Danio rerio: one gene and its partners. The protein of the gene in region 7 interacts with the protein of the main gene of each other region in a pairwise test. Links are inferred from orthologs where the notes say so. Each region holds a gene or a part of one and is shown on either strand. Other genes may lie near its edges. The genes, in order: abi2a, zbtb8a, stx11b.1, cdr2a, necab2, trim54 and kifc3.

Region 1 (4,338 bases), on a different chromosome or scaffold from region 7:
ATGTAATTTATTGTTTTCTAATGCATCCCATTCCTTTTGCCACTTGTTTAAAATGCAAGCGTTGATAAAAGGTTTCATCTCTGATGGAGGAATTTGGCATTTGATCACTACTTGCTTCAAAGCATCTTTAGCAGCTGCATCAGCTCGCTCATTGCCTGAAAGTCCAACATGTCCTGGAACCCAGCAAAAAATGATGTGATAAAACTGATTTTGTGCTAACCTTGGATTAAAAATAGTAGATATTCTGACTTAGTAATATTAATATAATATAGCAATATTGGCATTATAGTATACTGATTATTTTTAAATATCTAGGTAACAACAACAACTTTTTCCCCATTGAACACAATATATTTCAATATTTTGGAACAGTAAATATGTCAAAATAATTAAAATAAATCATTGATTCTTCATTCGTTTCAAAAGCACAGATTTCTTTACTTGAAAATGCATCTTTGAATATCTTTCTTTTCATTGGATATAAATAAGGCAGTGAAAAACACTGTTCGGGTCCAAAGCATGCTTGGATGAAGTTACAAGTCTTTAACAAGTAAAAAATCTGTATATATATTGCAGGAACGATATAACAGAAAAGATTTGCGGTTTAGAAAAAAAACTGACTTTTTCAAACCACAGTAAACCTTGAAAACGGTTATCATCCCATCCCTATTATGTGCTTTTTTTAAATCATAAAACATCATTAGCTTAAATATAGGATAATAAAACGCAAGTAGTCTTCATGTGAAGAGCATTATTTGTATGCTGTGCTGCCTATATGTAGTGAGCTCCAGATGGTGGCATAGTTTAGTTACCCATATAGACATTCATTGATCACACTGAACAGAGAATTCCATGTCCAAATACACAATTTACAAGAGCACAGGATGGAAAATGTGACAGAAGGTCTGCTTCAATGACATTCTCATTACTCTTGTTCCTTCACAACTCTGTTCTAAAATCCCATAATGTAAATATTTAAAAACTGGCCCTTGCTATTAAAAAAAATATTGCTCCTAACAAACTCCTAAGTGAGAGTTTGCATACATCAGTGCTGAGAATCACAAAAACTGCTTTTGGATATAAGTCAAAAGATGAAGGCATAGAAATTGCTTTACAATTATGTAAAGTATATAATGTATGAGCAGATGTGCAAAGAATATTGTGAATATTACAGGAAAAAATGGAGGCTACAAAATAAAGTTTACTTTCTATAATTAACAATTTGCTTAATTCATTTGCATTAAGTTTGTATGCTTGGGTTTAATGTCATCACAGCTTCTATCTGCATTTTTATGTTTAGAAAAAGTGTACAGGAGATATAGATTAAATTAAGATTTTACCATTGAATTTTTAAAAAAAATCTAAAACAGACAAAAAGATTTGCATGGCTCTTCAGTCACCCATAAAAAAAACATAATTGAGCAATTCCAGAATCATGGATGTGACAATTGTAGTAAAAACTCAAACCATAAATTCACATAGAAAGTATATGTTAACATAATATCGAAACATCTGTTTATATTTTCCAAAACAACTAACCACAGCGTTATGGGAACAGAAAAATATCAATCTGTAAATACATTTTAAATTTTAAAAGAAGAAAATAAACATGCATTAAATGTTAACATGCAAAAAAAGTCAGCAGAGTTTACAGTATAACATACTACTACTAACTGTACAACCCAAAAGAAGTAATGTTAATCAAAGAGATAAGAGTTGGCTCAGTATGAAACAAAAATTATTGATTTCATTTTATTTGACATTTTTGAGAGAAAAGCTTTATTATGGATAAGATGCCTCTCCGTTATGGATGTGACAGATGTAAAATTGCTACTTGTGTGACTTTGGTAAATCAAATATAATAGTTTGAAAACATTGACAGAGACATTTCTGAGTATTTTTAAAGTACTGTAAAATACTTACACAAAAAAAAATGTAGAAACTGTATGTCTATTTTGGTAAAAACCTATTTTTTATGGGAAGGTTGATATTTGCATGGAATTGCTCAATTATCCAGCACTTAAAGAAATTGCTTTGAAATTTATACTAATCCAAAAACATGATATGCTACTAACCATCATGTCAAAAACACTATCACCCCAGTATTGATTGCACCAAAACAGTTATGATTGCAATGTACCAAAAAGCATATAAAATACGAATTATTTACAGATTACAAACTGACTGAAATTTTAGACAAAAATAAAAACAAAAAATAATCTAAAGGTAATGTTTAGACTTACAATATGCTTCAAACAGCATGTCAAGATTTCACTTCAAAGTGGTTACAATCAGCTAAGTGTCGTCTATTTTCACAATATAGGTCTACGTTTACAAGACTAAATGATTTGAATTTTATCCGCGTTGTTTTGAACAGTGCTGTCAGCTGCTTCACTCGCATTCATTATTGACAGAGCAAAGTTTCCCCAATGATCATGTAACTTGAATACTACCTACCTACACGCTCAAATCACTGCACACAGAAGTTCAAGCCCTCCAAAAGTAGCCACCGCTTAGTTTAAAGCCTCACCTACGAGTGTCATAAACTTTTATAGTTAATCTGAACACGGACAAGCCGCGGTTGTTTGTACGTACTTAGCGCTGAGCCTCAACAGATGATCAACAACCACCGCACACACATACACACACTTCCAGCCTCCCCAACTCCACAAACACATACAATGCGTACTCCTTCGCCGCTCACCTGTACGTAGTTACTTTCGCAGTACTCGGCGACTCTGTCAAGGTTGGTGAAACTGTCCAACAACGCTCTGCGACCCGCTGGAATTTCCTCCTCCAGCAGCATCTGCAGCTCCGCCATCTTTACATCTCCCTCTCTCTCCCTCCACGCGCAACTAGCGACAGGAAGTACCGCCGCTTCACCTCCCCGTTGAGTTTGGGGAAAGCAGGGAAGCGCGTCTACCAATCCTACTATGGCGAAAAGTTGAAATATAATATAATATAATATAATATAATATAATATAATATAATATAATGTAATGTAATGTAATGTAATATAATATAATATGATAAAATATAATATAATATTATATAATATAATATAATTAATATAATATAATATAATATAATATAATATAATATAATATAATATAATATAATTAATATAATATAATTAATATAATATAATATAATATAATATAATATAATATAATATAATATAATATAATATAATATAATTAATATAATATAATATAATATTAGGATTATTATACATCATGCAATCAAAAATGGCTGATCACTCAAATTACTTTTGTTGCTTGTTTAAACTACTTATTTAAAATAAGTTGAAACAACACAATTCTTAAGTTGTTTTTGGGACAACCTAATTATTTTATGTTGAACCTACTTAAATTTGAGAAAACAATTAAGTTGATGTGATCAATTTGTTGTGGAACTATGAAGCATGCTCAATAAACTCATTTCATTCTGATTAATAGTGCTGATTTTTAAGGTCTTTAGCTCATCAAGTTGCATTTGTTTGTTCAAAAGAGAGTGAAAAGATAAATATTATATCAATATAAAGGTGTCAATAGTGAAAACTTTGTTTTAAAATGTAATTTATTTGTTTGATTTGATCATTATTTACAATGTCACATGATCTGTTAGAAAACAAACATCCAAACAATTTGATGAATGTTTTTGCAGATCAACATTTTCATTTATTTGTATTTTATATAGATGTTCAAAAATTACAAAAGAACATCATCTATCTATCTATCTATCTATCTATCTATCTATCTATCTATCTATCTATCTATCTATCTATCTATCTATCTATCTGTCTGTCTGTCTGTCTGTCTGTCTGTCTGTCTGTCTGTCTGTCTGTCTGTCTGTCTGTCCGTCCGTCCGTCCGTCCGTCCGTCCGTCCGTCCGTCCGTCCATCCATCCATCCATCCATCCATCCATCCATCCAGTCTGTCTGTCTGTCTGAAATGTATTATCATCATTATGGTCATGGTTTACACCTCTCTCTCTCTCTCTCTCTCTCTCTCTCTCTCTCTCTCTCTCTCTCTCTCTCTCTCTCTCTCTCAATTCCATTTAATGTTGTCAGTGGCTTTGGTGTATTTCTCACATTATTTACATTTGCAAAACGGTTGATACATTTCTCAAAACAATTATTACAAACTGCAAAACCTATTTGATAACCTGCAAAAGTAAGTCACTTGCTCAAAATGGATAGCTCATTCCCCAAAAGCAAGTATTCACGTCAATGAAAGTGTCAGTGTCATCAAGATGAAAAGTCCTGCCACCATTGTTTATGAACATGATAGTCAAATGTCTTTGTCATGTTTTCATTATGAGAGTTTACTCTGTAAA
Region 2 (3,839 bases), on a different chromosome or scaffold from region 7:
AATTAGGCTAAATTGTCCGTAGTGTATGAGAAAGAATGAGTGTGTATGGATGTTTCCCAGAGATGGGTTGCGGCTGGAAGGGCATCCGCTGCGTAAAACATGTGCTAGATAAGTTGGCGGTTCCTTCCACTGTGGCGACCACGTATTGATAAAGGGACTAAGTCGAAAAGAAAATAAATGAATGAATCATATAATCAGCTTGCCATATAAGCATATTTCTACAAGATGTGAATTATTGACCAGCAGTGCAGGATGTCATGTGGAGGTGTGAACGGAACAAACAAGAGTGTGAAGCTGCATGTGTTTCTCACCGTCTCAAAGTGGCTGCGCAGGTGCTCCAGGCGGGTGAAGCGTTTGCTGCAGGCCTGACAGGGATACGGACGCTCACCAGTGTGACAGCGGAGGTGACGCTTCAGATCTGCCTTTCTCTTTACTGTATGAGTGCAGAACGGGCATTTGTAGCGCATAGAGGGAGTGGCATCTGAGACGGAGAGAGACGAAAAATGACTGTAAGCTCCTTTTCATGCATCACTACATCAGAGAATTATTCTGAAAGCTTGATAATATAATAGAGATACAGAGAACGAAAGAGAGCCAAGAAATGTGATACAGGTCAAAGAGATATTTCTTGCATGCAGCTTCTTTATAATCTGTTAATTAAAACCTTCAGTGGCTTCTGTTGCCAAATATGATTTGGATTTGTGCAATATGAACATACTTTGTGGGAAGCAGAGATAGTCTTGCTGGAGTTCAAGAAATACAAAAATCTGTATATACTACAGTTCAAAAAACTTAGGTTGGTTGGAAAGATACATGTATTTTTGTCATAGATGAAACATCACTGCAATTTTAAATGACCATTTGATTACACACTACCGGTCAAAAGTTTGGGGTCAGCATGATTTTTAAATGTTTTCAAATAAGCTTCTCCTGCTCACCATGCTGCATTTATTTAATCAGAAATACAGTACAGATTGTACAATTGTGAAATGTTATTGCACTATAAAATAACTGTTCAAAAGTAGTTTATTATATAATTTAATCATTTATTCCAGTGATTTTAAAGATGAATTTTCAGCTTCATTACTCCATTTTTTACATGTAATAAATGCCACCTTGATGATCAATCATTTTCTTAAAAAAAAGATGAAAAAAGAACTGACCACAAACTTTTGACAGTAGTGTATATATAAACAAGACACTTCTACATAGCTTAAAGTGACATTTAAAAGCTTAACTAGATTAATTAGTGTAACTAGGCAGGCTAGGGTAATTAGGCAAGTTATTGTATAACGATGGTTTGTTCTGTAGACTATCGAAAAAAATATAGCCCAAAAGGGCTAATGACCTTGAAATGGTGTTTAAAAAACTAAAAACTGCTAAATAAAACAAATAAGACTTTCTCCAGAAGAAATAATATTATCAGACATACTGTGAAAATTTCCTTGCTCTGTTAAACATCGTTTAGGAAATATTTAAAAAAGAAAAAAATCAAAGAGGGGCTAATAATTCTGACTTCAACAGTATATATATATATATATATATATATATATATATATATATATATATATATATATATATATATATATATATATATATATATATATATATATATATACAAACACACACACACACACACACTTGTACAGCTAACTTTATGGGATTTGAACTTCCCATGTACATAATGATTTTTCTATACAGACTGTATACTCTGTCACTCAACCCCACCCCTGTACCTAAACCCAAGCCTCACAGGAAACATTCTGCATATTCAAATATATTCAAAATACTTCATTGTGTTTGGGTTATGAGCTTTTATTCTCATGGGGACCAAACAATTTTCCCACAAGGTCGAAAATGAGATGTGGTAATGCTATACATGCTAGTACAGTTGGTCCCCACAAAGTAAGGAATACAAGGTACACACACAAACTCACTTCACACTCACCTTTGTTAAACATCCCGACCACCCCAACAATGGAAGGCAGGTTGGCGTAGAGCTCGTCTGCTTTCTGCGAGCAGTGTGACACCACCCCCTGCAGGTCAATGAGGGAAGTATCTTCTGCCACCAGGCGACTGGAGGCCGTCCTCTTCCTGCTCCCCCTCCTCCTGCGTTCTGGGAGCACCGAGCTGTACTGCTCCTCCAGGCTGGACTGTGCAGGAGAGTTGTGCTGAAGTCCTGACGGCTGCGGGCTCGTCCCTCCAAAGTCCTCCTGCGGCTGATCATCCTCCTGCTCCTCATCCCACAGTCTGCTTTGAGAACTCATGCTGACATCACACATGTTGGACGGCTCGATAGTGCTCTCACGTCTGTCCTGAAGAGAGCTGTTCTCAGACAAACACAGATACCGATTCTCATCGTCCTCTTTCGTGCTGATCTCGAGGAACGACTTGATGAAGGCTTTGCAGTAGGAAATGACGTCGTTCATCTGCAGGTAGCTTGCAGCTGACATCACCTCGATTACGTTGGAGCTGTTGAGCTCCAGCTGACCGGAGTAAATGAAGTCCAGGATGATGGTGAAGATATCAGGGCTGAAGACGTCAAAAGAGGCACTTACAGAGTCAACAGTGTCTTTGGCTCCCTGAGTCAGGAGCATCCGGAAATATCCGCTGCTGCCATATAGGACGTTCCGGTGAGCGTGGAAAATCTGGCCCTCCACCAAAACACTGCAGTCGCAGAACAGCTCCTGCTTTCTCTGCTGGTCCAGCTGCTTGAGCAGACAGCTCTGGTGGATGGCTGACATGTCTGCACTGGTCCATTTGTTAACAGGCCTGAAAAACAGAAGGGGTGGGGGAGGTTCAAAATCTGTACACACACTGTATGATTGTGAATGTTAAGCTCAATACAGGCCCATAGCCAGGGTGGTTCGGGTGGTTCCAAAGACTCCCCCACACTGACAAATTCTAGAATTTGACCCCTATATGAGCTCATTTATCACCATTTTGACTGCTATGCCATCATAAATTGTGAATTGTGAAAATTATAGGTACACTGCAAGAGAAGGCTTCTCTTACTTAGATTTTTTTGTTGTTGTTTCTAGTCCAAATATCTACAAATTCTTAAATCAAGAAGAATTTCCTAGAAAAACAAAACATATTGTATTGATTTAAGAAATAATATGCCAACATTAAGTGAGTTCTTACTTAAAACAAGCAAAATAATCTGCCAATGGGGTAAGCAAAATAATCTTACGTCAAAAAGAAAAACAAGATTATTTTTATTGGCAGAGAATTTTGCTTGTTTTAAGGTAAAACTCACTTAATTTTGGCATTATATTTATTAAATCGAACAATATGTTTTGCTTGCCTAGAAAATGCTTCTTGATATAAGATTTATTAAAGATAATTGGACTAGAAAGAAGACAAAAATCTAAGTAGAAAAGCAAAATGTAATTTTGTTTTTGAAAATTTAATTTTTAAAGACAAATTTAATTTCTAATTATTCAAGTGGCCAAACTCTGACTGAGGAAAGTTGAATGAGCTGGTCAGGTTTTTATTTGCTTATAGGTACAGTTTTTATTTTACCAGATTCCTATTTTATGATAATAAATTTGTATTTAAAAATAAGCATTTTAAAATATTTATTTATTTGTTTTTTTATTTAAAATGCTAATCTCAAAAGAATATTTATCAAACTGAATTAATTTACAGTTTAAAGCCAAATTTGTAAATATATACTTTGTAGTAAAATAGTACGGTAAGTACTTTGACACAATTGTAGGAAACATTTTTGATGCATCAAAAAAGTGTGGTTATTATCACTATCTGAGCATCCAAGTGGATCCAGCATTGATTAGTGCTTAAAATGTCACTACAATGCACAATTGAATAGAAAAATG
Region 3 (4,390 bases), on a different chromosome or scaffold from region 7:
TTATTTAGCTGATATTTTTCTAATAAACTTGCAGAGAAACTGATTGCCAAAACAAACAAAATATGATAAACATGCTTTGCAAATATGGCAAGACATGACAAATTCTTCATATTCCGGATTAATGTAAGTGCATGTTCAGTTAGATTAATAAGAATCTCACATATAATAATAAATTATAGCCTATGAATATCCCACACAATATCTAGTCAAATATCAGATTTAATTCTCCATTGCTTTTGTTGACCTCAAACACTTAAATGTGATTTACCATTTTTACAGTTTGTATCAGTCTGCAAAAGGAAAAGAAGACAAGTAGTGAGGACTAAATGTTGTATAGTTGTAGAGAACGTCATTTCATTTTTTTCAGTTGTGTGTTAGGTGTTTAATGTACTCTTAGCACGACTGCTGTTCACTTCAAGAGTAGCCTATCAAACAGTTCTTTATAGACCAAAGCTTTGCGTCAGAAATCTGTGATCTTTTTCATTACACATCTCTTTCTTTTCATTTTTAAATGACACTCAAAGGTCATCAGAAGCTCAGGTCCACAAGTCTGTTTACATTCACTCAGATTTTAGCACAAGGAAAGCATCCACAGAACATTTTCTTGAAGGGGTTGTTATTATCATGTCTTTTGGCCTGTGCCAGTTTGATAAGCACTTCCCCAAGCACAGCATCAGTTTTCTGCACATTGTTTAAGATGTAGTCTGTCATGGGTCCTTGCTCCTCCACAAGCATCGCCACATCCAGGAAGACTTCATGAAGGCTGTTGAGTCGGTTTTCCAGCTCCAGCAGTTCCCGATGTCGATGCTCGATCTGGTTGAGTGCAGAGCGAGCTGTTTTGCCCTCTGACATGATGTTATCGTTAAAGACGTTCCACTCACCGTTCTCCAGCATCTCCTCTATCTGGTCACCTGACACCTCTCGACCGACGATCTCCATTTGTCGTTGAATGTGACGCTTGCATGATTCCTTGTGATTCATCTCAGCATCATTGTACTCGGTCATTGCATCTTGGAAGTTGTTGCTCAGGGTGGCATACTGTGTTCGGGCGATTCTGGCTACTGCTGAGTTGATGCCATGCTCCTCTTGCAGCTCTTTGGCGTGGGCGTCCATCTTTTGTAGACGTGCCAAAACGTCCACCCCACGGGTCTTGATGTCACCTGCGATGGCATTGGCGTCACGCTTTACATAACTTGTACGTGTCGGTTCGTTGAGTATTCGTGTGTTTTGGTCCCTGAGCCGCTTGACCTCGAGGCGGATGAGCTGAATCTCACGTCTGGTGTCTTGAGCCTCGTCAAGCACAGACTCCATATCTTCACCATTGTCAAAAATGACAGCCTGCTGGCTGAAGTTCTCCTCCAGATCCACATTGCTGAAAGAGTCAGATTCTACCTCCTCTAGATGACTGTCGGTCTCTGAGATGGTCAGAAGATGATTTAGTCGGTCCCTCATGATTGCTATAAGAAAGAATGAAGAGCAAAGGACATTAAGTATGGGTTCATCTTGACAGGGTTGGTTTGATGTAAAGAAACTCTGCTCTAGTTAATATCAATAAGTGTGAACACAAAAAAACAGAACAAAACGCAGCAACAATCAATGAGACCCCTGAAATAGTGAGTTTCAGATTGTGTTCAAGTTGGTACACTCTTAAAAATAATAAACAGAATTAAAAATAATTCTGAATAATTTCAGAAGGAGGTTTTTGCCCTGCAACCATTATTTTTGGTTCCTAAAAAGAACCTTTCAGTAAACAATTCTTAAAATATTTTTTTTTCTTATTGTTAATAACATTTTTAAAATCTTTAGTATTTTTTACTACAAATAATGCTTTTATTAAAGATTATTTGTGAAACCAGCCATACAAACTCATTTTTTTTTTGTTTTATTTAAAAGTGTAGTTTGCTTGTCTTGATTAATTTATTCTGGACCACCAAAAAGTAAATAACAATTTTAGTTCTGGTTCTCTTTACACTCATTCAATAGACACAAAAATATATAAAATTGGGATTTTATAATTTGCAATATTATTTTCCCTCAAGCTGTCCTTGTTTTTAGGCATTGTGGAACAAAAATACCTTCTGACTGTAAAAGGCAGATAACACTTCCTTATCTACCACGAAAAAGTCACAAGTCTAACAAGTTTATCCGTGAAACTATTTCTGACTGGCGTCACTCACCAAACAAGTTTGAATGGATTGAATTGATACTTCAGCTTTTGTTTCTGTAAAGATAATATGCTCTTTAGTTATTTGTATTTTACTGCAAAGCGTATTAAAAAGAGATAATATATATATATATATATATATATATAAGACTTTATTTGAGTCACTAAAGCTTTAGCTACAGATAAACATGTGGCACACTTCTAAATTATTTAATTTTGGATTGTTGGGTTACTTTTGAAACATTTGATAGAGCTGAAATTTAAATTTATAATGAAGATGTCATTTAACAAATTTTGGAAAAAATAAATTAAGGACAAAATACGTTCGCAAGTTAACATATTAAAGTAATAGACAGAAATATTTATTATAAACAAAGTTAAGCAAGTATATTTAGCATATTGTGTTACTTTTAAACCATCCATGTGTTACTTTTGTCTCTACTGATGGGGTCAAAAGAAACAATGTGCAATTTATGCTAAAAGTGAAAATAAGTTGTTCTACATTTGTACAAAAATACCACCTGATCACGACAGACCACTCTTGTGAGTTAGTAACCATAGCAAGAAATATTTCTGTCTAAAATAATATCTTTTAAAATGAGTTTTTTATGAACAATTAAATGTTGTTTTGTTTCATCTCTTGCCTACTCTTTTAGACATGCTGACAACATTATAATGAATTTATTAGCCTAATAATGAACAATTGCCCATAAAAACATAATGTAGAGCTGAAATGTGAAAAGCAAAGTCCCATGTCATCTACAAAAAAGTCCATTACCTTATGTTTTTGTCCAAATGATTTGCAGTTTGAATTAAGTCGACATGTCATGTCAGTACTACAGCTCCATCCTCTCTGCAGTGAGGCGGCTGATGTCCTCCTCTCCCAAGTGGGGGGGTGAAGGAATGCGCGGTGCAGGGCGTAACTTTGACGCCAAACCTGTTCGCTGAATAGTCTTCAGACGTGCGTTTCGTTACTTTTGACATCATCTCTGTTTTAAGAAATTCCTCAGCGGTCAGATGATCTTCTTCGTGTCTTCCATGTCTTTTCACTAGCCTGCGTTTAAGTAAAACTATGCAGTAGTCTAGGCCTCAGAGCTATGATGATGATGATGTGTATATACGTTGTTTATAGGCTAGAATAAGAGAAGACAACTTTAAAATATGATTAAGCATCTGATATTGTTCCTTGAGGCGCACTTGTGTTGTTCGTGGTCAGATTAGAGACCAATCATGTAATTATTATTACTGTTATTATAATAATTATTTAAATAATTGTTTTGCATTATATTTGAATTTTTTTTATAATTATCTTTTGAGAATTGTTTTCTCTTACAATTATCCTAACGCAATATTAAAATGTAAAAAATGAGGAAACCGAACCGAATAATTACAGAAGCTTTTGTAAACCCAAAAGCTGGTCCAAAATGATTTAGAGACACCAGAGTTTAATCAGCCAGTGAGTGTATAAATAATATTATTCGTGAATTGCATAATTAAAAAAAAAAAAAGAAATGCTGTAATGAAGTAGTCGAGGGTTTTTTGCTTGGGGTCTAGAGATCCCAAGAAGGCGCAAGAGTGTTGGAATTATTTAGAGAAAATGCATAGGCCTACAAAATGTGTAACTAACAAATATAATTTATTATGATCATGTTTAAGGCGTTCGTGGTAACTAAACAGTTGAAAAAGCCTTTGGGACAGTTCTGTGTTTAGGCTCTACTTTGCTCGGTTCTCCCCTGGCCCCGCATTTCTTCTGCCCTCTGTCGGACACATTGGTCATCACTGCACACCTGATATAAGGCGGAGTCTATGACATCATCCTCACTCGTGCATCGCTGGCTGCAGAGGTGAAGTCCTGTTACGTTAAATGCATTTGTTATTTTCACGGACGGATTGGCTTTTGTATTAAGCTGATTTTAGGAGGAAGGGACAGAGAAGGATATAATTTGAGGTAGGCCACAGTCATAGTAATGCTTGAAAAATTTGTGTTATTCCAAGTGGCAAATAGTTTCATTAATAAGAGTCATTTTATACATTGAGCTAATATTACAATTGCACGATTTGGGATTGATTATAATTTTCTGTAATCCGTTCTGTTTTTAATGAATCTATATATCTAAAGACCATACAACGCACTCCTGATCAAGTAGTAAAACAATGATGAAGCGCACTGTAAGAGAAAGAGTTAAAAAAAAGCTTATATTTTTAAAACGTGTTCGTAGAAACTGG
Region 4 (3,839 bases), on a different chromosome or scaffold from region 7:
TTTAGCCATATTTCTCAACATCTTGAGCTCAAAGCTAACAGACACAACCTCCACTTTTTCAGTACAAGCAAGAACTTCAGCTCAAAGTAGGTCAATCTTTGGCACGTCGAGACATGAGTGTATGACTGTGTGTGATGATGATGATGTGAATGATAGTGGTTTCTTGGCTCCACACTCACTTGTCTTGCTGCAGATCGTAGATTTCCTTCAGGCAGGACATGCTCTGGGCCCCGAGGGCTCGGCGTGCCGCTGTGAAATCCCTCCTGGACTGGGACGCCTTCAGCTCGTCCACCTGCTTCTGGAGGCTCTCCATATGAGCCTGCAGGCCATCGATGGTCTCCGTCAGGCTGCGGATGGAGAATAATAAAGTTGCAGATGCTGTGAGAACTGCTTCTCTAAAATAAGCAGCTGTGAAACTGCTGAGTTTTAACTTTGTTTCATGCCAACTTTAAACAAGTGAGACATGCACGATATAAAGAACGGGAGGGTCATTTATTTTTATTTTATTTTTTAAACCAGCCAGAACTGGCCTGATCCTCACCTCTGGATCCTGTGCTGGGACGTGCGGTTCTCCAGCACCAGCCGCTGGTTGCTCTTCTCCAGGTCTCGAGCAGCCAAGTCCAGCTGCTCGTACACTTTGGCGTGCTGGTCGTTCATCTGCCGCAGGAGATCCACCTGCTTGGTCAGATACTGAAGAGAGAAACAGACAGACAAAAGGCTTTCAATATTTACTCTTATCCAGATTCAGATGGACTCATACACACAATGTTAATACAATTATCGGTTGAAGACTGATGGTGAATTAACAGTGTTTAGTGTCAACGCTTGACAGAGGGCGTGTCTGAAGTTGGGGCTGGCACGTTTGTCATAGCAAGCGTCAGCCAATGAAATTAGCCAGCAATCAGCTACTTTCTGAGCTGGTGTATTTGCATACAGCGATCTGATTGGCTGATGCTTCCATCGGTGCTTGAAAAGTTGAGAAAGTCTCAACTTCTGCAGCAAGCAACGCCACTGAAGCAGCACCGACAGATCCACAATGCAGTTCGGCAATGCCTGATGTCACCCATTCAAAGTGAACGAGAAGCCAAGTGTGAATGGGGCGTAAATGTTTTCAGTCACCAAAATAGTACATATTCAATACAGCGTTACTGTCCATACATTCACTACATTTGTTCAGGTTATATTCTTATTTCCTCTTGTGGTGAAAAATAAATGACTGTTATATGTTTTAATAACAATTTTTAAAAGACACCCACTACAATGCCATTCGGTGTAATATCAACAGGCATATTCAGATTAAGAACAATTGATGACATTAACAGACTGTAAATATCATAGTTTTGCCCTTAAATACTCATTAACTATCATTTTAAAGCTTTATATTTTACATTCTCCCACAAACCACTAGGTTTTACCCATTTTTCAGATGATTTTAATTGCTTCAAATATGTAACATAATTAACATACAATAATTTTATATAACTCAGAATGAATATGTTTTAACTTTTTTCATATGCTTAATGTCATTGGAACTATTTCATCAAAAAAGTACATTAAAGAAGACAATTTATTTGCATGTAATTTACTAGATAAATACAACTATATATATATATATATATATATATATATATATATATATATATATATATATATATATATATATACATATATACATATATATACACATATATATATATATATATACATATATAAACACACACACACACACACACACACACACACACACACACACACACACACACACACACACATATATATATATATATATATATATATATATATATATATATATATATATATATATATATATATATATATATATATATATATATATATATATATATATATATATATATATACACATATATATACACACATATACATATATATACACACACACACACACACACACACACACACACACATATATATATGCATACTAGGGTTGTAACAATATACCGGTATGACGGTTTACCACGATTTGAACGTGCACGATTATCATACCATGAACAATTGCATATCAACGGTTTTAACCCTTAAAGACCGAGACAGCCGCCCGCGGCTAAAAATAAGTATTGCTCTTAAATGTTTAATAACTTTTGATCCGCTGATCCGATTCATACAATTCAAAGATTGGCATAAAGAAGAGAACCTCAGCTTTCCAGTGCTGTATCACATAACATTCGCGGACTTTCAGAGGCTCCGGAATCAGTGCGGTTACGTCATCAACATTTGACAACGCTGATTTGACAAAGAAACGCTCGTCACTGTGTCTCCGGACAAATCAGACATGATACATTGATGCATTGTCCCTCCTCCATGCCCAGATTGGTTCAAACTCGCAATATCACAACCAATAAGCATAGGTTTCACTTTTGTTTGTGGACCAAGCTTTTTGAACAACACGGAATGAGAGAAAGGCATACATTTATGCGCGGCTAAATAAAACGCAAAAAAAAAAAGTTTTGCATGAAATAATTCTCATACTAAGTACTTTTGCATGCACAGCAGCACAGAAACATGACAAAACAGTGACACAGCAAAGACAAACTGCTGCTCTTGCTGTTTTCAAAAGACGCAAATGAAGATGCAGCTGTTTGTCTGCATTGCAGACAACCATATCCATATCCATAGACAACCATATCCATGCTGGCACATAAAACCTAGGGATGTTCCATATTAAATCTAGTTTCGTTATGTAACTATTTATAGTATAGTAAATATTTATATCTATTTTTTACTGAGGATTTGCACCATGTTTATTTGGACTTTATTTGGACTTTGACACATTATTTATTATTTTCTTATTTTTATTTGTTCATTGTAAGTGGTGTTGTTTATAGTAACTAAAAATATATTATTTGGAAAAAGTCAAATTTGCTTCACTGTTCTATTATTTTGTAACATACCGTATACCGCGAAACCGTCAAACCGTGGTATTGTTTTAGACGATTATCATACCGTGAAAAATTCATACCGTTACAACCCTAATGCATACATACACACACACACACACACACATATACTTTTTTTTTTATAAATAGATATAGAGATATAAATGTAACAGAAAGGAGAATTTCTAGTTTCCTAAACAGTGCATCATCAGACCAGTCTCATGCTCGTCTCATGACTCCTGAGTATCTTCCTCACCATTGTTTTCAGTCTCCTCATTTAAACATTAGATGTTCAGAATACAAGTGTGAATCATTTCAGTGAATCAGATCACACTGGGCATCTCAGAGAATGTCTAAAAAAACATATTTGCATAATTATATTGAAATGCATGCTAAGCTTCTCCCTTACTTTGAATATTTTTTTAATATTGGCACAGTTCTTCAGGCATCCAAGAGTATTTTTCCAATTCATTTTCCCATAGAGATTTTTAAAAAGTCTTGGTTAAACCATCAACAAAGCCTTGAACAATTTCAAACCTGCTAGGACAGGGATGGCCATGGAGAGTTTTGATTACACCTTATCCAAACACACCCGAACAAGCTGAACAAGGTCTGGGTGTTACTAAAAAAAACAACAATTAAAAAAAGGAGTGTTTTAATTAATCAAGTCTGAACTTGCCTGTCTTTGTGCGAGGAGGAGTATCACAGCATTACAAATCAGACAAAAAGACAAACCAGTGAAACAGTGTTTAACAATAGAACTGATGAGAAATGACTGGAAATGACAAAACTCGACACTGTCCATTTAAAGGGGACCTATTATGCCCTCTTTTTACAACATACAAAATAAGTCTCTTAATGTTTCTAGAGCGTGTGTTAATAACTTTGACATGGTGTCTATGTTATTGCATCTTTTCTATAATA
Region 5 (4,626 bases), about 26 Mb from region 7:
GTGTTTCTTTATGCAAGATCCAATAAAGCACATAATAATAGTTGGATAGACCTAGAAACTGATTTTTTATCATTATTTTTAAAGGTCTTTAATCGTACATTTTTATAGACTTTTAGTGACCTTATTCTTCACTGTGGAAGTGTACTTGTTTTTGCAATTGTTTTAGATATACCAATTTAGCTGCCAATAGAGGAACTCATTCATTCATTCATTCATTTTCTTTTCGGCTTAGTCCCTTTATTGACCTGGGGTTGCCACAGCAGAACGAACGGCCAACTTATCCAGCATGTGTTTTACGCAGCGGATGCCCTTCTAGCTGCAAACCATCACTGGGAACCCATACACTCTCATTCACACACCTACACTACAGACAATTTTAGTTCCAATGGCTGCACCTGCTCGTACATTAAGAATAAGGTCAATCGTGAAGACAGGAAAGCATAGGGAGCAGAGAAAGGGGTAGTATAGGCAAAGGACCTTAAGCTGGGAATCAAACATGGGTGCTATATGTCAACGCACTAACTACTAATCCATTGGTGCCAACAAAACTGAAACTTTTTTGTGGATTTCTGCCATTCCTTTATAATAGAGTGTTTTAGGGGCCTGGAAATGCAAACATTTCAGATTGTGTTTCAGAGAGAGTGTCTACAAAAACTATACCATTTTAATTTCTGTGTACAAAATACAAAAATATTTTGTCATGTGCATGCATATCAATTTTTGCTGATACAGTATGAGCAAATGGGAACACTATTAACAACATTGTCTTTTTGTATGCCAAAAACTTTTAACTTAATGCAAAGACTTCACAGTTTTTTGTACATTTGGTAAAATGGGGGTTTTGTTTAAAAAAAGATGCAAATTTTTTTTCATTCAGAATTATAGGTTTTGGAACCTAGAAGTTATTCAAGTGTTTCTTTTCACTTCTTTCCACAAGGTAAACATGGTAACAGTTTGCCGATTTGTTGACAATGTATGGCACAGGTGTCAAACTCAGTTCCAAAAGGGCCGCAGCTCTGCACAGTTTAGTTCCAACCCTAATTAAACACACTGATCAAACTAATTGAGTCCTTCAGGCTTGTTTAAAACCTACAGGTAAGTGTGTTGGAGCAGGGTTGGAACTAAACTGTGCAGGTCTTCGGCCCTCCAGGAATTGAGTTTTACACCTTCTGAGTATGGTATGAATCACTGAAAATGTATTTACTGAAAGCAACACATACTCCATAAATTATAATAATTTGCTTCATCATAAAACAATAATGCACATGCATAATATAGACTTGAATGTATATAATCAGTTGTGTCTTCTTAAGTTAGTGGAAATAAGGGGATATTTAATCTAAAAATGAAAATTCTGTCATCATATACGCCCATCATCACAATCAGGGTAACCATTGGCTCGTTTTTCGCGGGGTTATTCCTGGGTTTTAATACAGCTACCGTTAAATTGGCTACTTTACAGAGATGAAGTAGAATATTTGGTAAAACAGGACTAAAATAACTACCATCATTAATTCAAAAGTTATTGTCTGCTATCAGTTCTCTTAGTTGATCCTCTCTCTAAATTGCAAATAATGCATTTTCTCTCATGTATTGTATCTTATTCTACTGCAACTGTACTAAATTCATGGCATTTACTTAACTGCTCCAATTTGGAGTGTCAGAAGGGCTGAGTTTTGGGCTGGGAGCCGCTGATGTCATAGCAGAGGGAGGGATCGCCCCCATAGCGCGCAGCATGAACGCTCCGCGGCAAAAGGATGTGTGAACAAGCAGCGCGCTACTGCAGGGACGGCGTCCACAAACTGCTCCACAAAGAACAAGCAAAACTCCGGGCACAGGACAGCAAAGACCAGCCCACACCCGGGGCTCAGGACAGCGAGACAGCGACGGCTGCACAGTCCGGAAACAGCGGCGCACAGCCCGGTGGAATAGACGGGCTCGTCCGCTGGATAGTCACCAAGATGAGCGACAATAAAAGCATCTCTACCCGGGAATACGCGAAGGAGGAGGCGGCGGTGGCTCAGGAGCAGTTCTTCGCGCCGGAGCCTCGAAAGGGCATCTCAGTCATTTTGGATGTAGGTGTTTCATTTTCTCTGTGTTATGAAATATGAAGTGCGCGCGACCGTTCAACTTTTATTCGGTTTCCCGAATAAAGTAATGAACTAATTTATTCATTAATTAGTTGATTAATTCAGTAACCTCAGAAGAGTTTTAAGCATTAATTAGACATTAATGACTCATACACAACTAGTAAGCCTTTGATGCTTTGGGAATACAAAAAGCAATTGCACTTTATGAATTTATCTACTTTTAACTTTTAATTCTGTCTTTATTTTTTCTTTCTTTTATGCATTTCAGTTGCATGTTGTTATCTAACATGCTTTGCATACTTTAATACATGGATTTTGTAATTCTGATTGGTTAGTTGCAAGCAATCAGTTTTTGTACAGTAACCTAATTGGACATAGTTGACGATAGAAACATACCAGAAACATACTACTTTCGCATATCTCTCCGCGCACTCGGAAACTAGTGCCACCGAGCGATTTTAAATGGTCATCAAATGGTGATAAAAATTGTCTAGCATTAAATTTGGTGTCTGTCTAATTCGCAAAAAGCCTAAAACAATGGAATGGTGAGTCTTAAAAGTCCCTAAGCAAGCAGAAGAGCTACACAGAAAGACAGAAAGTTTAAAGATTAAATCTAAATTTCAGAAAAACAAATTTTCATTCAATGTTTTTGTTTAATTTATTACTATTATATGATTGCAGTGTCCTAATAACGCCTATATAATGGACATTCTTAGCAAAAAATCTAGAAATACAATGAAAAATAACTTAAATAAATAGTTTTTGTTCAAGGTAAATCATTTGAGTAGCCATTTTTGAAGAGTAAAATAATTTACAGCTGAAAGACCCCCCTTCAGGATGAGATAAAGCCCTCCCAATGGCACTCTATAACTGCATGCACACGCGCTGTCCCAGCCGTATCCAAATACTGTTCAGCTTCTCGAATGTGCACTAGAAAAATCAACCCAATTATAAAACACACCAAATATTCTCTAGTAGCTACAACGCTGCATACATTTGACTGTACCTTTCAGCATCTTGAGCTTATACAACAGTTTTCTTTTGCTCTGAATTTATCTCAGAGAACCTAAATAATTTATTGTGCTTTTCCTGTGAGCCTGGCAGTTATGCTTTGTGGTTGGCTGCTGTGGCGAGGTCTCAGCAGTATTGATTTAGTAGGTCAAAGTATTGCCTCAGTATTGTTCTTCATTGGTGCTGGATAATTATCTGATGGACATACCTCTCGAGATTTCCACATTGCTTTTAGGGGGAGAAGTTAAAACGTTTAAGAGAGTGATAATAAAGTAGTTCAGTTCCAGACCCAGATACAGTCTCAGGTAACCAGAACATATAAGGGGACGAAAACTAATTAAAAACCTCAGGAAAGAAAAGCCAAAGGCACCAGATGCACCCTAGTGTAAATACAATAGTGGAGGCGGGGTTATGCAGATAATGAGGTGCTGTAGATAATTTGTCTTTTATGGATGGTGAGCATGTGTACACGATTTTCTCGTCGAGACTTAAGATACGGAGCACAGCTGCTTGTAAGGGAATTGATTTCCCCCTATACTTTCTGAGAGAATTCCATTACTTATCTCAATCTTGACACGTCTTCTGCAATGTCTGTTCCAGAATCAGCCTGCATTGGTAAACAGCTGAGCGCCATTCATTATTAGAGTTTATTCTGAAAGTGTCTGAAGCAGCTATGCAATTGTAAAGACCCCATTTTCATTTCTGAAAGCCTTCGATTCAGCGGCTAGACCAGTTATAGATTCAGAGCGTGTCAAATGCTCGCATCCCTGGCTTCCCCAAACCTGACAGTAGAGCACTAACAAGCTGTCGTAAAGAAGGCTATAAGTGTGTTTCGCGCTATTGCTTTCTTACATAATCATGCCTCTGGTCCCAGACCTCATCTGGCTTTAGGGAGTAATTAAGTGCATTTAATGTTTTTGAACATTTCGTTTCCACTGGGGTTGAATGGTGTGCGCTAAATTACAGTAGTTTATGCTGTAGGACGCACATGTGTGAGAATAGTTGATCAAATGGTGGCAGCACGTGACATTTGCTAAAGACTTCATCGCACTATTGACTTGAACTTTAAAATACAAATATATCTGGCATTTGTTCAGTGGATTGGATTTGAGCCAAAGCACGGAGAATCAATCCAATTGACTTGGCAAGTATAAATGGGAGTCCCGTATTAGTGCCTATTAATTGAATCCATTTGTCACTCTCCCGTTTAAAGTCTTTGTCAATCTTTTTCTTTCTTTGGCTGACATCTCATTCTCTCTTGTTATTTGTTCCAGATCCTTTTATCGACACTAAGAGTTAGAGTTAGTTTGCAATACTTTATTCTTACTTTTTTATATTTTTATCATCAAAAATTAATTAATAAAACTTAATAGATGGGATAGATCAGGGGTTTTCAAAGTGTGAGGCGTGCCTCCCCTGGGGGGCGCCAGAGCATGTCAGGGGAGGCGCAGGAAAAAATATAATATAATAAAAATATAATTATTAAGTTTAATTATTATATGTATTTTTTATTATATTTAAACGT
Region 6 (3,839 bases), on a different chromosome or scaffold from region 7:
TCTTGTTTAATTTAAATATATCTGACGTAGAACTTGTTAATGTTTATTGCAAACGTATTTTGTCCTTTAATTTTGCTAAATAAATAACATTAAACGCAATTTTTATTTTAAATGTCACTTCCATCAAATGTTTCAAAAGCAATCCAACAATGGTAAAAAAAAAATGTTTTATCATTATTTGGTCAAGCTAATCATCTAAAAAATTAGTGTTTTTGGTAATCTTTAATGAAAGTCTGATCATGTGTTTCAGTTTTTGGAGTGACGGTCCTTTTGTTGACGTGAATCTGAGGGCTTTTATAGCAACTGTGTTTATCATTTTGTTAATAGCATCTCTTACTTAGTCAAGTACCTTTTTTGTGTTCTATACTTTGCCTTAGTTTGCTATGAGGGAACGATGCAACAAATAAAACCCCCGCTCCCTACGTAGCGAAATAAATCTTAAATCCTTAATACTATATTTTTAGTCAGTTTGACTTATGCAAATTGAGATGACTAAAATAGTTTGTTTAAATTAAAATAAAATAAAGCAGCAAGAATGTTTTATAGTGTAACTATTGCTATCAAATCATAAATGATCAAGCTAAAGGATAAATTTTATGATTATGTAATAGACAAGTTCTTGACAGCTCTAGAATAAGTTCTTGAAATAATGGAAATAGTAAAAAAAAATGCATTTACTTCCACAGTGTCAGGAATTCTGAGTGACAATACAGCATTACACAAGGCAAACTACAACTGGAAGTAAATGTTCCATAAAAAATGTCTATATTATCTATATTGTGTTATTTCTTTATTTCTATTTTTAAACAGGAAAATATTGAAAGGTTACTGGGCCTAACTTAACAAGAATGTTGGCTTTTAGCAGAACATAGAAACACACAGACATTAGGATTTCATCCAACAACACATGATACTAGTACAACTAATAACCAAACATACTAAATTTAGGGAACCAGGCTACTGTCTCATTGACAACAGTAATAGTTGACCATCAGATGATGAGCATGGGATTAATAATAATAATAATAATGAAATGTTATGTCACCAACAAAGGCTAAAGTCATGAGAAAACATTTCATTAAAAGTAAATACAAGACCAGAAACAAATAAACACAAGATAAATTAGATACGATTTTAAAACTGAATACATGATAACAATTGTAACACTTTTCCTGATAAAACTTTGCTGAATTTCCTTTTATAGTAAGTTAAAAGTAAAAGTGGGTCAGTCTAATAAAAGGTTTTACAGTAAGAGCAATTTTGTCGTTTTACATTTAAAATTCTTTAAACTAAACACTTTAATTCTAAAATTGCTTAATATTTGATATAAAATAAGTTAGTTATAATCATTTAAATAAAATTATTAAGTGTCCACATCAAATTAAAATTTCAGAAGTGCTTTTATATACATACGAAGCATATTAAATGGCGGAAAATGGTTTAAAAGCATGGAGAAAATGTCCCATCATCAATCAGAATGTGCCTTTGAAACAACCTCTTTTAGGTACCGGCTTTTTACCAAAGACACTAAGACCATGTACATTATGTATTCATAATAAACAAAGCGTTTGTTACAAAAGGCTTCAAAGTCTATCAGTCTTATTATACCCAATTACGCATATTTTTCACAGGAGGTCTCATGACACATTGTTTATTGCCACAGGGATAAAGCGTCCTAGTTATATTTAGTCTGGTTTGGCAAACGATTGCTACAGTCACCAGAGCCTCAGGTCCCATGTCTTTGTTTGTGTTTACTTGACGTGGCAGAAAATCTCCCACATAAGAGTAAATCACATATATGTGTCACTACACCGGGTTTCAGCTTCATTGATGAAACAGAAGAAGTGTCAGGTACTGTAGTGTTGTGTCACAAGAGTGTTGTGTCACAACAGCTTGGGGCGTTGCTGGATCTCTATACAGAACACGGCTTTGAAGTATGAACAGCAAATAGACTTAATTAATGTAAGTGCTTCGAGAAGAGAAATGTTTATCCTTGGTGGAACTTGGAACTGGTTCACAGGCTAGCCCAACACAAGACTGACCTGGTGGATTCTGATTTGTAGATATCTATGATATTCTCCACTAGCAGATTTCTCTGAAGGCCGTAGACACCATGCCGATCCAAAACCACCTCATGGCGACATGATGGGCAGCGGAAACGCCCCCCTGTGGACACAGTGGTTGAGGCCCGGTTTTGCCAAAGAGGGTTGGAGGCCTGGAGCAATGAAAGACAAAAAAAGGGGTGCCATTAAAAGCAAACAACTTGATGGAATAGCATTTCACAGACATTAAACATTTAATGCACTGAAAAAAGTGCTGAATCTACCTTGTCTTTCATTTGAAGTACGTTTTTATATTTGATTAAGTGAAAAATTATGGATTCTGATTTTAAAGCAAAAAAGTTACCTTATTTATTATAGTAACTCTAAATACACTCTATATAACAATCTAATTCATGTTTACTTAACTCGCCAGGTCATGTTTTGCCATCTGCCATTACTTGATTCAAATGTGAAGAAAGTCTGTGGCCAAAGTAAATTTTATTTAGACAAGAGAAGCATTCCCATATTATATAAGAAAGCATCAGGGCGTTATGGTGGCACAGTGGGTTGCACGATCACCTCACAGCAAGAAGGTCGCTGGTTCAAGCCCCGGCTGGATCAGTTGGCATTTCTGTGTGGAGTTTGTATGTCCCCCTCAAGTCCAAAGACATGCTCTATAGGTGAATTGGGTAGGCTAAATTGTTTGTAGTGTACTATGTGTGTGAATGGGAGTGTATGGGTGTTTCCCAGTGATGGGTTGCTGCTGGAAGGGCATCCGCTGTGTAAAACATATGCTGGGTAAGTTGGTGGTTCATTCCGCTGTGGTGACCCCAAATTAATAATAAAGGGACTAAGCCGAGATGTAAATGAATGAATGAATGAATGAGAAAGCATTCGCGATGGCAACATATCTTTTTTAAAACATGTTTGTAATACTGCCAGGTCGAGGCTTTAACAACAGTAACGTTAGTCTATTAGTTACTCTGACAAAGATATCTTCAGGTACTGCTTATGTGCCCTCAATAAATACATTTAGCTGAAACAAATTACAGTAATTTTTTAAAGTTACTTTGACCATACAGAAATCTTTTAAATTCATGTTTTTAATAGGAAGCTATATAATATTATATTTGTGCATATACATTAGATTAGTCAGTACTGAAGCCAAATCTGGAGCTTGTCTGACAAAATAACATATATGATAACGATCCAAAAACTAGTACACCCAAATTTTTATTATAGAAAAATATTAAATACAAAATTTTTAAAAAGGAAAAAAACAAGAGAAGCAAAATGATTAAATAAATAAGTAAAAAAAATTGTTGAAACTTTGTAGGTTGTATTTTTATTTATTTATTTATTTTTGTATATTTTGCTTGATTTTTTATTGTATTATCTTTCGATTTCTAAATATGTGTGGTGACTAAAATATTATTTTAATAATTATATCTGTTTTTCATGCACCGAAATACATTGCCTATATCCACTGAGAAATTAATAAAATATTCATTTCAATCTCATTCATACATTTCAGTTTGATTTGCTCATCCACCAATGAGGGGTAGGGACAGGAGTGGAGTTTGAAGGCACATCTCCTTTAAAAAAAAAAAAAAATCTACATTTACATATCAGTGAATGAGTATGAATAGTTACTTTTCTGACAATATACATAGTTATGTTTACTCGTGATATCGGGCTGAATATTTGAGGAGGATTTACTGAAAATGTCTGTGTGAAATGTGCTAATGATTAAGAGTCTAAACATATAGAGGCAAACTAATTTACATGACTCCTGAT
Region 7 (4,514 bases):
CAGGATTTGATCTGCTAAAACGATCCATCAGACTGCAGAGAACATTAGAAATGGGACATTGGGAGGATAAACATGATTCCAGGTAAATGAAAATCCCTGTGTGTATTATGCAGAAAGAACATTTACAAAATGTTCCCATAGTGAATTACTCCCACCAGAAGCAGCTGATCACAGAAATTCTGGATAAGGATGAAAAGTCGAGAAAAACGCACTTGATTGATTAAAATAGCTCCAGTAGACTTGATGAAATTCACACACTCAGAAAAGGAATATGTTCAACTTAAAGCCGTCTAAGGTTTCTTCAAATCAATAATACAACGCACATAAATAATGAGAAGAAATCAATGAATAAATAATTGCATTTTGGATTAAATGGAGGTTTTCCAGTAGCAGAGAGACTCATCAGTTACACTCTTCCAGCTTGAGGACTGATCGGTCAAAAACAACACTTAATTCCCTGCAGAATCTACAGTAACATACTGGCAGCAATTTACCAGTAACTTACTGTAAATCAAGTACAGCAAATAGACTGTATTTACATTTACAGCACCATTTATCTTGTATTTACAGATATGTATGTATAATAGTTTTGGGTCAATAGGCAATGCCATCGTCGATCGACAAAGGCCGAGAAACATCCTCTGCCCCGCCCCCGTCGCTAGAATTACACACTCAGGCCCCATTTAGACCAATACATCTTAGTATTAAAATGGCATTTTAGAACGAAAACGATCCACATCCACTGGCGTTTTATCTAGCACTTCTGAAAACATACTGCTGAACACACATGGCATGTGCTGCAGCATTTGCGCACGTCTGAGCTCTAGGCAGTCAGTGGGTGCTTTGAGCACAAAATCCCAGAGAGCAGTGCACTTTGGACAATTTATTAAAGATGTACCGCTGGATTGCATCTTATAGATGTTAAACTTGATATTTAATTAATCTTGTCTCTATCTAACGACTCCTCTGTCTTTTGAATCTATCAGGTAACACAGCGTCAGTACACTGCTTCAGTCTTTCGCTTTCACGCTTGTACTTTTAGTAAATTGTAATTCTAGCTTAAACCTCAGATACTGTTGGATGGTTCCTGTTGGTTGTGCACCTTTTTTTTTACCAACCAAGTTTTTCGACGCCATTATAATGACACAGATCACTCTGCCTATTCATGCCAGAATCCCGCAAAAAAAAATATTGACCGGTTGGTCATTTATGTGTAATTTATCTTTATTCATTTATGATTTGGTTATGTATAAAACAAAGACTATGCAGGTCAGGTAGTCGCAACGGGTGGCTACAAATTATTAATTTGTTATGAATAAATAAATGATTCACTGATGCCATCGTCCATCACGATGTTTCACATTAGACATCGTACGATGCCAAATCGGTCAACATCGCCCAACCCTAATGTAAATCTTTACTGTAGAATATACACTAATTTTCACAATGCAGCATTAAAATACAGTAACATACTGCATGAGTGTCCTACAGTAAAATACAGTTCACATTACAGCTAAATACTGTGTAATTTACAAAAATCGTTAACAGTGAACATTAAACTGGATGGCTGCAATGCAAACAGCCTTCAACTAACAACTTTCTTTACTTTAACCTCCATGTTCACGCTCACCTGTGCTATCTTCCTCCTCTCCAGCACATTATCCTGATGAACAGATCTTCTTTTACTCGCTCTGCTGCTGAATCCGTCAAGGCATCTATCAACGTCACTCTGCCCATGCACTCTTGAAGTCTCTAGTGGTCCAGAACTTCCAGGAATGTGGTGTTTGTTTCTCTTCTTGCGTCCGTGTTTGCCTACATCTGGTTTGTGCTTCTCTGGGCTTTCGATAGCTTTGGGTTCAACGGGATCCAGGACTCGGGGTCTCCTAAACAGGTTGTGAAGAGACAGCAGCACCAAGGTGCACAGAACATACATGCTGGCTTGACTACTGGAGACGTCTCCACACACACATTTAGACGGAGTATCCTTTAAAAGCGATTCTGGATGATCCCATTTCAGGGTGAGCGCAAGCACTGAACACTATCTTCTGGTTAAAGTTACAGTCGTAATATAAACTCTTCCGAATTGCGCAGCAATGAGCTTTATCGGTCGACGTGAAGGTGATCAGCCAGTTTAGAATCAAGTATTGTTGAGTTCTTGCATGTCTTCCCACCACTGTTTTCACTCAAACAACAACTCCTGGAAGGTAAGACCGTGTTATTCCAACACCTTCGAGCTCCAGAACTCTCACTTAGGCTTGATAATCTGTCTGTGATCTGATCAGCAAATGAGATGGCTTTCTCATCTCCCAATCTCGTTCAAGAGAGAATGAGGGAGGGACGACTACCGCACATCTGCTTTTAAACCCCACAAAGCCATTTTAACCTACCTGGACACGTCTATAAAGATATCGCCTGATAAACAATGTAAGCCAACAGCATGATAAATGCTTCTTTAATCAGGATACATAATATTTAGGTGCTTATCTTCCCCATCTGCACGCCTCTTCTTTGGAGATCTTCCAGAAGATTACAGGTGTATTCCAGTGAAATTCGATCGAAAGAGTAACCATGAAACTCTCAGTCGTAATCTCCATTGGCACTTTGACAAATCATCACCTCCACTTGCGTCAGTAATGGTTTTATTGTATTTTTACAGTCACTGGATTGCAGGACAAAACTCACAGGTCAGACCACTCCTTTCATAATGCCTTGTTTTGATAGTCTTTATCCCCGTTTTTAGGTCCAAATGACTGGGCAAACTCCAACCATTCATAACCCATCCAACTCCTGCGATGCTGGTGTAGTCCTATAACTCCGAGAGAGAAAATGCTTTTCACTCTTTCGCCCTCCCTTTTCTCATTGTGTCCATCTGTCACTGCAGTCGGACAGCTAAGCGTCTCTTAGCCGATGATGTAACAACAGTGTTTGCATCTATGCAAAATAAGGAAAATCAACTCAAAACATGTTTTAAATGCACTGCTGAGGATAAAGAAGCTGGTCTGTGATTGGTCGCCTCCGTGGTAAGATGACCCTGTTGAACTGCGTCCTACAAAGCCATCCATCATGCTCCTGCTGTGTGACAATGGATAGAACATAATATGGAAACAGACAACTATGGGAATGTGGCGCAGTGAGACCTGACAGTGCCAATCTAGAGTGATCAATTAGGATTCGGGGACATAGAAGATCGGCGCTGTCTTGTGCTGGTACTTCAGGGGGGAAAAATTGAATCATGTTTGAAGTGTGTGCGCAAGACAAACAAAAGGCCATCTTCTGGTTCATTACCCTTTTTAGGGGCCGTTCACATGCTTCAGACCAAGGGAAAACAACAAGAGTGCCTGTTCGAACCAAATTAACCAGTATAGAAGTAAGTGCTCAAACTAAAGTGGCAGGGCTGGGCAAATCTACAAACAGAAAACTACAAACAAACAACAATTTTTTTTATATACAGTTGAAATCAGAATTATTAGCCCCCCTGAATTATTAACCTCCCTGTTTTATTATTATTATTATTGATTATTATTATTTTTTATTTGTTTATTTTATTTTTTAAACATAATAGGTTTAAGAACTCATTTTTAATAACTGATTTATTTTATCCTTGTCATGAAGACAGTAAATAATATTTGACTAGATATTTTTAAAGACACTTCTAAACAGCTTAGTGACATTTAAAGGCTTAACTAGGTTAATTACAGTAGGTTAACTACGCAGGTTAGAGTAATTAGGAAAGTTATTGTATAACGATGGTTTGTTCTGTAGACTATCGGAAAAAATAGCTTAAAGGGGCTAATAATTTTGTCCTTAAATTGGTAGTTAAAAAATTAATAACTGCTTTTATTCTAGCCGAAAATAAGACTCTCAAAAAGACAAAATATTATCAGACATACTGTGAAAATGTCTTTGCTTTGTTAAACATCATTTTGGAAATATTTAAAAAAGAAAAAAAACATCAACAAGGGCTAATAATTCTGACTTCAACTGTATATAAGACAATACCAAAATGATGATACAAGTTGAATATTCTCTTCTTCAAAGGGGGCCTCTTACACTCATTTAAACAAGATGTAAAATAAGTCCCTATAGTGTTTGTGTGTGTGTGTGTGTGTGTGTGTGTGTGTGTGTGTGTGTGTGTGTGTGTGTGTGTTTGTGAAGTATCAGCTGAAAATACCACAAAAATAATTTTTTATAATGCTTTGAAACAGCAAGTTTAAGGCTGTGATCCAAATTGTGTCGTTTTGGTGACTGTCGCTTTAAATTCAAATGAGAATGGCGGACGGCTGCTTCTCACTCAAAGCTGTTTATGCTAATGAGGGAGAAATTTCTCTAATGGGCGGGGCTTTTCCAATCCAATGGCACGTACAAAGGCAGAATGTCAATCAAAGTGTTTCTGCAGACTGTTTATTAAGGTGTGATTATACAAAAATTTAATTAATAAATTTTCACCATTAGAGGCTGGTTATATTTATACAGTGCTGCCACACAACTGTGTTTAAACCCCTTATAATAGTGCT

What was found.
Region 1: the proteins of kifc3 (region 7) and abi2a interact in binary tests that used the Homo sapiens proteins (3 or more experiments, as listed by UniProt). The link is inferred for Danio rerio from reciprocal best matches to the Homo sapiens genes KIFC3 and ABI2.
Region 2: the proteins of kifc3 (region 7) and zbtb8a interact in binary tests that used the Homo sapiens proteins (3 or more experiments, as listed by UniProt). The two-hybrid records come from large-scale screens. The link is inferred for Danio rerio from reciprocal best matches to the Homo sapiens genes KIFC3 and ZBTB8A.
Region 3: the proteins of kifc3 (region 7) and stx11b.1 interact in binary tests that used the Homo sapiens proteins (3 or more experiments, as listed by UniProt). The link is inferred for Danio rerio from reciprocal best matches to the Homo sapiens genes KIFC3 and STX11.
Region 4: the proteins of kifc3 (region 7) and cdr2a interact in binary tests that used the Homo sapiens proteins (3 or more experiments, as listed by UniProt). The two-hybrid records come from large-scale screens. The link is inferred for Danio rerio from reciprocal best matches to the Homo sapiens genes KIFC3 and CDR2.
Region 5: the proteins of kifc3 (region 7) and necab2 interact in binary tests that used the Homo sapiens proteins (3 or more experiments, as listed by UniProt). The two-hybrid records come from large-scale screens. The link is inferred for Danio rerio from reciprocal best matches to the Homo sapiens genes KIFC3 and NECAB2.
Region 6: the proteins of kifc3 (region 7) and trim54 interact in binary tests that used the Homo sapiens proteins (3 or more experiments, as listed by UniProt). The two-hybrid records come from large-scale screens. The link is inferred for Danio rerio from reciprocal best matches to the Homo sapiens genes KIFC3 and TRIM54.

What each region holds. Positions count from the first base shown.
Region 1 is NC_133184.1:13,878,883-13,883,220, reverse strand, and holds the start of abi2a (abl interactor 2a), read right to left. Parts: upstream 2,822-4,338; coding exon 2,705-2,821; intron 1-2,704. UniProt on the Homo sapiens protein: Regulator of actin cytoskeleton dynamics underlying cell motility and adhesion. Functions as a component of the WAVE complex, which activates actin nucleating machinery Arp2/3 to drive lamellipodia formation.
Region 2 is NC_133192.1:26,256,890-26,260,728, forward strand, and holds part of zbtb8a (zinc finger and BTB domain-containing protein 8A), read right to left. Parts: intron 2,773-3,839; coding exon 1,949-2,772; intron 482-1,948; coding exon 312-481; intron 1-311. UniProt on the Homo sapiens protein: May be involved in transcriptional regulation.
Region 3 is NC_133195.1:29,252,077-29,256,466, reverse strand, and holds the start of stx11b.1 (syntaxin-11b.1), read right to left. Parts: upstream 2,985-4,390; 5' UTR 2,943-2,984; intron 1,458-2,942; 5' UTR 1,453-1,457; coding exon 565-1,452; 3' UTR 1-564. UniProt on the Homo sapiens protein: SNARE that acts to regulate protein transport between late endosomes and the trans-Golgi network.
Region 4 is NC_133178.1:62,640,571-62,644,409, forward strand, and holds part of cdr2a (cerebellar degeneration-related protein 2), read right to left. Parts: intron 691-3,839; coding exon 542-690; intron 348-541; coding exon 180-347; intron 1-179.
Region 5 is NC_133193.1:22,796,547-22,801,172, forward strand, and holds the start of necab2 (N-terminal EF-hand calcium-binding protein 2), read left to right. Parts: upstream 1-1,743; 5' UTR 1,744-1,757; coding exon 1,758-2,075; intron 2,076-4,626. UniProt on the Homo sapiens protein: May act as a signaling scaffold protein that senses intracellular calcium.
Region 6 is NC_133195.1:42,032,279-42,036,117, forward strand, and holds part of trim54 (tripartite motif-containing protein 54), read right to left. Parts: intron 2,216-3,839; coding exon 2,043-2,215; intron 1-2,042. UniProt on the Homo sapiens protein: May bind and stabilize microtubules during myotubes formation.
Region 7 is NC_133193.1:48,507,448-48,511,961, reverse strand, and holds the start of kifc3 (kinesin-like protein KIFC3), read right to left. Parts: upstream 2,809-4,514; 5' UTR 1,934-2,808; coding exon 1,631-1,933; intron 1-1,630. UniProt on the Homo sapiens protein: Minus-end microtubule-dependent motor protein. Involved in apically targeted transport. Required for zonula adherens maintenance.